Linked DNA regions of Tribolium castaneum. The protein of the gene in region 2 binds, or shares a complex with, the protein of the main gene of each other region. Links are inferred from orthologs where the notes say so. Each region holds a gene or a part of one and is shown on either strand. Other genes may lie near its edges.

What was found.
Region 1: unc-112-related protein (region 2) and stck share a complex: the UniProt entries of both Caenorhabditis elegans proteins name them as parts of the integrin containing attachment complex. The link is inferred for Tribolium castaneum from reciprocal best matches to the Caenorhabditis elegans genes unc-112 and unc-97.

Annotation. Positions count from the first base shown.
Region 1 is NC_087400.1:2,455,620-2,460,189, reverse strand, and holds the start of stck (LIM and senescent cell antigen-like-containing domain protein 1), read right to left. Parts: upstream 3,079-4,570; coding exon 2,897-3,078; intron 2,792-2,896; coding exon 2,675-2,791; intron 2,624-2,674; coding exon 2,318-2,623; intron 1-2,317. UniProt on the Caenorhabditis elegans protein: Component of an integrin containing attachment complex, which is required for muscle development and maintenance. Probably function in adherens junction.
Region 2 is NC_087396.1:10,390,268-10,394,090, reverse strand, and holds part of unc-112-related protein, read right to left. Parts: intron 2,396-3,823; coding exon 1,890-2,395; intron 1-1,889. UniProt on the Caenorhabditis elegans protein: Component of an integrin containing attachment complex, which is required for muscle development and maintenance. Probable regulator of cell-extracellular matrix adhesion. Required during initial muscle assembly to form dense bodies and M-lines.

The DNA.
Region 1 (4,570 bases), on a different chromosome or scaffold from region 2:
TTGTTCAAATAATAATAATAAATAATTTCGACTCAAAAAAGTTGCAATAAAGTAAACAACCGTTCAAAGACAACGCAATTTTCGACCAAAATTTTATGATTTGTCGGTGGATTTATATCAAATATCTCCCACAAAAAAAATAGATTAAAGCAGTAAAACGTGTTTAAAATGAAATTTATTGGAAAACGTGCCAAGAGACTTAAAAAAAAACGAAAAAACAAATTAATTTTTGACGTAATGTACTACTGTATCAAACCGTTAGCTAAATTATCTCCAACTTTAAATAATATTATTTTACTTTTATGCAAAGAAAACGCACAAAAACGGCCAAAAAAGGCAATAAAAACATTTTTTCTTGCCTCACATTGTAAAAAATCCGCAGTGTTCACACCATTTTCGCTTTGACCAAATTTTTTGACGTCTATCTCACCAAATTTTGAAAAAAAAATAATAATATAGTCGTTTCTGTAAACGAAAAACTGTCTTTCTTTTTTTTTTCAAATAAACAATTGAGTTTTAGACTGAAGAAAGTTGCAATAAAGCGTCCAAAAAAATTAAAAGCTATTTAATTTCTCGAGTTTTTAGCACTATAAAGTGCACAACTGTTCAAAAATAACGCAATTTTCGATTGATTTTCGAGCAATTTTGCGAAATTGCTAGAACAAGAAAGAAAATCTTAGAAAAACAAAGTTTTTACCTCACAAAAAAGGTAAAATACGAGTATACCACTTTTTGAGATAATTTTAAAGTTTTTCGACTGATTATTGATAAAATTTAGCGAAAATTTCGACCGAATTTAGTGTTTCATCGATTTGTTTCCAACAAAATTCGAAATAATTACTGAAAAATTGAACTAAAAGCCGAAAAACGATCGGTTTTTATCTTAAAACCTTGTTTAAACCACCCCACTCCGCTTTTTTTCTGGTTATTTTTGGCTAACGCAAAAAAGGTCAAATCACACAATTTTCGCTCTGTTTTGGTCATTTATTGTCTTTTCCACCAAATTTTTGAGAAATATTAATAATAAAGTCTCTAAAAAATGTAAAATACGGACGAAAAAAGCAAAATTTATTTTTATTTTTGCCCCTATTTAGTAATTGTTCAAATAATAATAATAAATAATTTCGACTCAAAAAAGTTGCAATAAAGTAAACAACCGTTCAAAGACAACGCAATTTTCGACCAAAATTTTATGATTTGTCGGTGGATTTATATCAAATATCTCCCACAAAAAAAATAGATTAAAGCAGTAAAACATGTTTAAAATAAAATTTATTGGAAAACGTGCCAAGAGACTTAAAAAAAACAAAAAAAAACAAATTAATTTTTGACGTAATGTACTACTATATCAAACCGTTAGCTAAATTATCTCCAACTTTAAATAATATTATTTTACTTTTATGCAAAGAAAACGCACAAAAACGGCCAAAAAAGGCAATAAAAACATTTTTTCTTGCCTCACATTAAAAAAAATCCGCAGTTTTCACACCATTTTCGCTTTGACCAAATTTTTTGACGTCTATCTCACCAAATTTTGAAAAAAAAATTAATAATATAGTCGTTTCTGTAAACGAAAAACTGTCTTTCTTTTTTTTTTCAAATAAACAATTGAGTTTTAGACTGAAGAAAGTTGCAATAAAGCGTCCAAAAAAATTAAAAGCTATTTAATTTCTCGAGTTTTTAGCACTATAAAGTGCACAACTGTTCAAAAATAACGCAATTTTCGATTGATTTTCGAGCAATTTTGCGAAATTCGAAATAATTGCTCAAAAATTGAACTAAAAGCCGAAAAACGATCGGTTTTTATCTTAAAACCTTGTTTAAACGCTTGAAAAAGGTAGTATGAGGATCAGTTTCGATCTAATTTGGTGACTTTTCGGATTGACATTGAAAAATCTTGCAAAAATAACTCAGTTTTTAGCTCAAATACTCACCACCCCACTCCACTTTTTTTCTGGTTATTTTTGGCTAACGCAAAAGAGGTCAAATCACACAATTTTCGCTCTGTTTTGGTCATTTATTGTCTTTTCCACCAAATTTTGGAAAAATATTAATAATAAAGTCTCTAAAAAATGTAAAATACGGACGAAAAAAGCAAAATTTATATTTATTTTTGCCCCCATTTAGTAATTGTTCAAATAAATCATTGAGTTTTCGACTGAAAACAATAAAGTAAACAGCCGTTCAAAAACAAGGCAATTTTCGACCAATTTTGATAAAATTTCGCAAAATTGCTAGAAAAAGAGAAAAAAACAGCTCCACGTTCGCCTTTATTTAATTTTTCGAAATGAAAACCATTTCCTGTCATTATACTTACTGGCACTTGTGGCAGACGTGTTTCCCCGACCCTATGGCTTTAACCTTGGCATTGCATTCATGACATAAAGCCCGTCCTGCATTTTTAATAAATCCAGTATCCGCCAATTCCGTCTCGCACATCTCGCAACGGAAACATTCCGGATGCCAGCTGGCATTCATGGCCTTGATGACCCGCCCGATGATAAAATTATTACACTTTCCACAACACGGAGCAAAGAGAATCTGGAAATCTCTCTCGCAGTACTTGCGATCGTCATACTCGTAAAAAATCCCATCATCAAACTCTTGGAAGCACTGGGCACAGCTGGAGATTTTTTATTAAAAAAAAAAAAAAAATTAAAAAAAAAATACTTACACAAAACACTGCTGGTGCCACAGTTGTCCAGTAGAATTGACGATTTTTTCATGCGGCTCGAAACCGTCGCCACAACGGGCACACAGCATGTTGTCCAGAGACATGGTCGAAGTGACCCTAGAAACCAGCACTCACTTGTTTACGGGTTATACGATATGTTGTAATCTCTTTTCATTCGTCAAAAAACCACAATTAATAATAAATAAGAGTGAAAATTATTACGTGCGTGAAAAGCCATGTTGTTGTAAATCGGATTTGTCGATAAATTCGTAGTCAATGTCTTGGAAACTGCGATATTCCTCTGAAAGATCATCTTTCGAGTTGGCCCTTCTTTGAAACAGCCTACTTTGGGAGATTGAACCCAGTGATGGGATACTTGGGGACAAGTCTATTTTCGAAAACATTGATCTAATGTATGTCACACGAACACTCTAAAAGATTTTTCCCCTTGTAAACTACATCTAATCTATGGCTTAAATCAACAAATCGTATAGATATCGTCAAGTCCAACAAAACGTAATAGTAGGTCTAGTTATACGAGTGAGTGTTAGAAGCTTATTATAATAAAGGTAATAATTGTCAAAAATTCGTTACCACAACCGGAAACCACAGATAAATTGTGACTAAAGATAGTGTTTATGTTGCTAAGTGTTTAACTTTTCCTCTTAATTGCAAAATGACGTCACAAAGTAAATAAAAATATGACCTGGCACGAATCTCGTATTTTTTACATTTTTCGCACCATTTTTTCTTATGCAACGAGCGTATGCGAGAACTTTTCGTATGAGTGTTATTGATAGAAAATTTTATTTTAAAACACGTTGCTAGGGGAAGTAATTAAAACACTAATAGCTTTTTTGGTTATAATTTTTTATTTTTTCTATCAGTTTAATAAAAAATCCAAAGCAAAAGAATTTTTTTCTAATTATACTGACGTTTCTTGTCTTATCTTATCTTTTATGTATTGTACACTAATGTTTTATACTTTATTTCTTTTTTATAACGAGCTATGCAGTATTTTTATATTTATTATTATTGAAAATATTGAATTTTAGTGCAATTTTACGAATTGGAATAAAAAAAATTGAGTATTTGATCATAGAAAAAGAACTAAAACGTCCAGCAGCTTTATGGTGACGTCACATTAGATGGAAGAGTTAGGTGAGACACCCTGTATTGTAACTGAAACAATTGATTTTGTTTCAGCAGTTCCGATTTTGTGACTATAACACGTTCTTATCCAGAAAACAAAAACATGAATTAGAGATTATCAGTAATTACGGCATTATTGATAAAAAATGACCTTGACATACAAAACATAGGTCATTTTTTTAAGTGAAATTTCTAATACAAGTAATATGGGGGATCAATGATATACAGAGTGAATAATTTAGAACATACCTTGTACTATTAAGTACAGTAATAATGATACAACTTCCGGAATTAAACCAACCAACTAAAGAGGCAACGCCTACTTTTTAATGAATTACTTTAACTTTTAACAGTTGCGTAATACAACAGAATGCTTACCCTGGCATTGGAATTGGTGACATTTTGCTGTACAGTTAATTCCAACTCGTCGTAAGACCTGGAAATTGAAGAAAAAACACGATATGTAACTAATTTATTTCCAGGCCTACTGAAGAGAACAGGGGTTAATAAACTCAAAATAGCATTCCAGTCCTTACCAACAATTATTCGGAAGAGTCTACAATATTTTAAAACTTTTAAACAACCAGAAAAATGAAAAATTCAACACTTCATGCAAGCTAAGAGCAAGAAAACAAGAAAACTGTCAAAGCAACCAATCACGTTCAAGAAACCAACAATTACCATTTAAAGGAAGTGGGCCATGAGGAGGAGATTTGCTGGGTTGGCGACCGTGTCCAGAAAGGC
Region 2 (3,823 bases):
GTCAAAAATGACTGTGAACTTTTTTTTAGATGGTACCCTGTATTTTTTGTGTACCATTTGATGTGTAATTATAATTAACTTCTAATTGCAATATGTATCACACCCCATATTTCAAAGTAACGTTACAATAACAATTATTCATTAAGAATTGCGTAATCTAAATAGTAGTTAATTTCAAAAAAAAACTTAACTACCTATGAAAACTATTTCATTGCTTAAATTTGTAAATAAAAGTTTTTAATAATTGTTTTTTTTATCATGTAGCTCTTTTTTACCTAAAATAATCTAAATATTTTTTTATTTTTTTCTACTAGTATTTATTATTAATTTATTATATTGTGACACGTGTTACAAATTAAAAGTAAATCTTCTATTAAATGATGCAAAAAATTATACAAGACCCCATTAAAAAAAAGAAATTGACACCGTTTTTACAAATGTCACCATAAAACTAAATTGATGATTTTATGCAATTTTGTCATTTTATTCGAAATGTACAGACTGAATCAAAACTAACACACAAAATCCATATCTTTGTTAATGGTCATTTTTTAAAAAAAATCTGTTTTTAAAAAAACAGGTCTATTTTTTTATTTAAATGCTTTATCTTGAGATCTGTGACGTCATTCGTTTTTGAGCTATGAAGTCATTTATATTTTCTTTAAATGACAACTGACAGTTTCATTTAGTGTAAAGATAGTACTCGTATATCCACACTAGTATATCCTACTTCAGTTTATAGTAAAATTTAGCAACAATAAATTTGGACTTTTTGGAGTGAAATGGAACACAAATTGAAAGTACCTGGTGGTTTTCTTGGCTCAAAATTTGCCGCAGGGATTTAGCTTAGGACAGAATTCTTTTCTTATGCAGAAACTATTAATTTGGGCTTTATTTCACTTCAGAAAACTCAAATGCGCTGTTACAAAATTCTAATATGAACTGAAATAGGATATACACATCTATATCTTTCTGATAATAAGAAAAAAAATGAAATTAAAAAATAAATAAATAAAACAATTACTGACAACTAAACACAAAAAGCATTATCTGTGTGTTCTTGCTTCATGTATTGTTTTTGATATGAATTTTTAAATAGTTAGCGTGAAAACATATGCAACGTAAATCTAAACACAAACAAAAACAATCACTTCTTACAATAAATAGTATATTAAGTATCAAGAACAGTAAGGTGGTTTTACCAATCTAAGACAATTATTGTCTGAGATCAGTAATCCTTAACGTTCGTGATGCTTATGACGTTTTTTGCACGATCTTTATATTTTTTTTAAGATTTATTAAATAATGTCAAAATAATTGTCAAGACCAGGTTATGTTAACGACGCCTTGGACGTAGCAACTAGTAAACACCATGTACTTACTGTCTTGGAAACAGGCGTCGTAAATAATCAAATAGAGCTCAGTCGTGTAAAAAATAAAGTAAGATCAGAAAGATAAAGCTCTTTGTATACAATTTCTAAACCTTTTTTTAACTTTTAACTTTTCTCCTTTTTTGTTTTTCTTTTACTTTCTTTATACGAGTACTTACCAGAAAGATGATTTGTACTATCCAAAACACTAATTAAAAATGTCATTTAAAAAAATTGAAAACGACGTCATTACTCAAAAACCAATGACGTCATAAATGTCACTATACAGTTGAAATGTAGCATTTAAAAAAACTGACCTGTTCGAGGTTTTTTTTTTGAAAAATGACTTAACAAAAATATTTTTTTCTCCCAAAACATCTTTGATAAGCACAAGTGCGAATTTTTTGTGCTTTCGACTCGCTTCTTTCACTTTCAAACTTGCATTTTTTCGAACAAATGAAATAAAACAGATGTGAGTGCAAAGTCAAGTGTTAGTAAAAACCATCGGGAAAAAATTACATTTCCCACAGGACTGCTGACCGGTGTGGAGGAGGGCGGAGGCCTCGAGGGTGTGACAGGAGCGCACATAAACCCACTCTTGTCCAAGCTCCCGGTGCTCCCATCGGGACTGCTGTTGGCGATGAAGGTGTTGGTGTCTGGCGGAAGGTTGGGATGCCCGTTTTTCGCAACCCCGTTTTCAACTTTCTTCTTTGGCATCGAGTTGTAATTGTATTTCAAATGGCAAGGTTCGAGCGGTTTGCACAACGACAACTCTTCCGGATGCCTAATACCCAGGTCTTTACACAAGTGAATAACGGCCGAAAATGTTTTTACGGAAAAATCCACTTTCATGTCCAAGTAGCGCAAGTCGGGCAGTTGGACGCGCAAGTTTTTGTGCATGGGGGTGAAGTGCAAAAGGGCATCGGCTTGGACGCCGTATTGGTCGAGGGTTGAGCGGGTTCGCGTCAACCAAATGTTCTTGCTGGGCCACCACAGGGCATGGTCCGACCAGTCCATTGAGATTTCTGTAACAAACCACACCAAAAGTTCAGTTTGGTAATTTTGGCCGGCGCGCAAGTTTTATTTTAGATTTGGAAGAAATAACTTGAGACAAAAATAATGAATTTCTCTTCTAGTTCAGTTTAAGAAAGTTTTTACAACTCTGACCTATTTCGCGCAAAAGCAAACGCATCTGTTTTGTTCGCTCTTTTATAGGTCAATTAAATAAAAGTCGGGTGCAATAACGAGGCGATCAATTCATTTCGCTTATGACAGCAGCATGTTCCACTTTCGATCGCTTCGAAATGAACCCAACTATAGGCAAGTTGGAAGGAAACCAACTGGAATCTGGACTGGCCTTGAATCGAATTCATTAGATCCAGAAATTATGTGGGAGTGATTTTGATGTCATACGAATGAATGTAATATCACCGTTTTTATTACGCTTGAACGTGTGCCGTGAATAAAAACATGCGGGAAGTGGGATCAGAAATGGGGCGAGACTATAAATCTGGGGATTATGTCACTATACGAGTATGTGTGGTGATACATTCAACCAATTTTTATAATTTTTGCTTCGTTTTAATGATACAACACGAAAATTGGTCAATGGTTGAAAGAAAGGAATTTTTTTCCGGTTAAAAAACGATGAAAGAAACTAGGAACAAGGCCCTAACTAGTGACTGCTGGCTCATTTTTCACAGTCGAAGGTCCTTTTACTAAGCTGTGTTTCCGAAAAATCAGGAAAACTCGTTAGACAGGATTACACATATGAAAAAAACCTGTATCGGTGAAGATATATTGAAAAAACAAAAAATGTTCATTAAGGCCCTTAGTAGTGATTGTTGTTTTTTTAAAGAAAAGGCCCTTTTGCTAAGCTTTGTTTACTCCAGAAAACAGCAAAATCGCTTCACGAGTTGACAAATGAAAGAAAAATCAAATTTGTATTGAGATGATATTTTGAAAAAAAATCGTTAAGGGTTTAACAAGTGACTGTCGATTCACCATTTTTTACAATCCAAAGTTCTTTTGCCAAGCTTTGTTTTCTGCAAAAATCAGAAAAATCGCTAGCCACACTTGTGAAAAAATAAAATTTGTATTGTGAAGAAAGTAATAAAATTAATAAAAATAAAAAATAATGTTTTTCTATTAGAAGAGAATAATTTTGCTTACAAATTAGAATTTTAAAATTTATAAAAGCTTTAGGAACGGTCATAAGTCATGTCATAACAATACGGCACTACAGAATTACTTTCTTAAATTGAACACTGTTCCCAAAGCTTTTATAAATTTTAAAATCCTAATTTGTAAGCAAAAATATTCTCCTCTGATAGAAAAACATTATTTTTTATTTTTTAGTGCATCTTTTAAATAAAAGCTTTTTGCTAAAAATAACATTTTTTTATTTTTTTTTTTTAGTTTTTAGTTATTCTAAACGTCTTTTCTCTGAGATT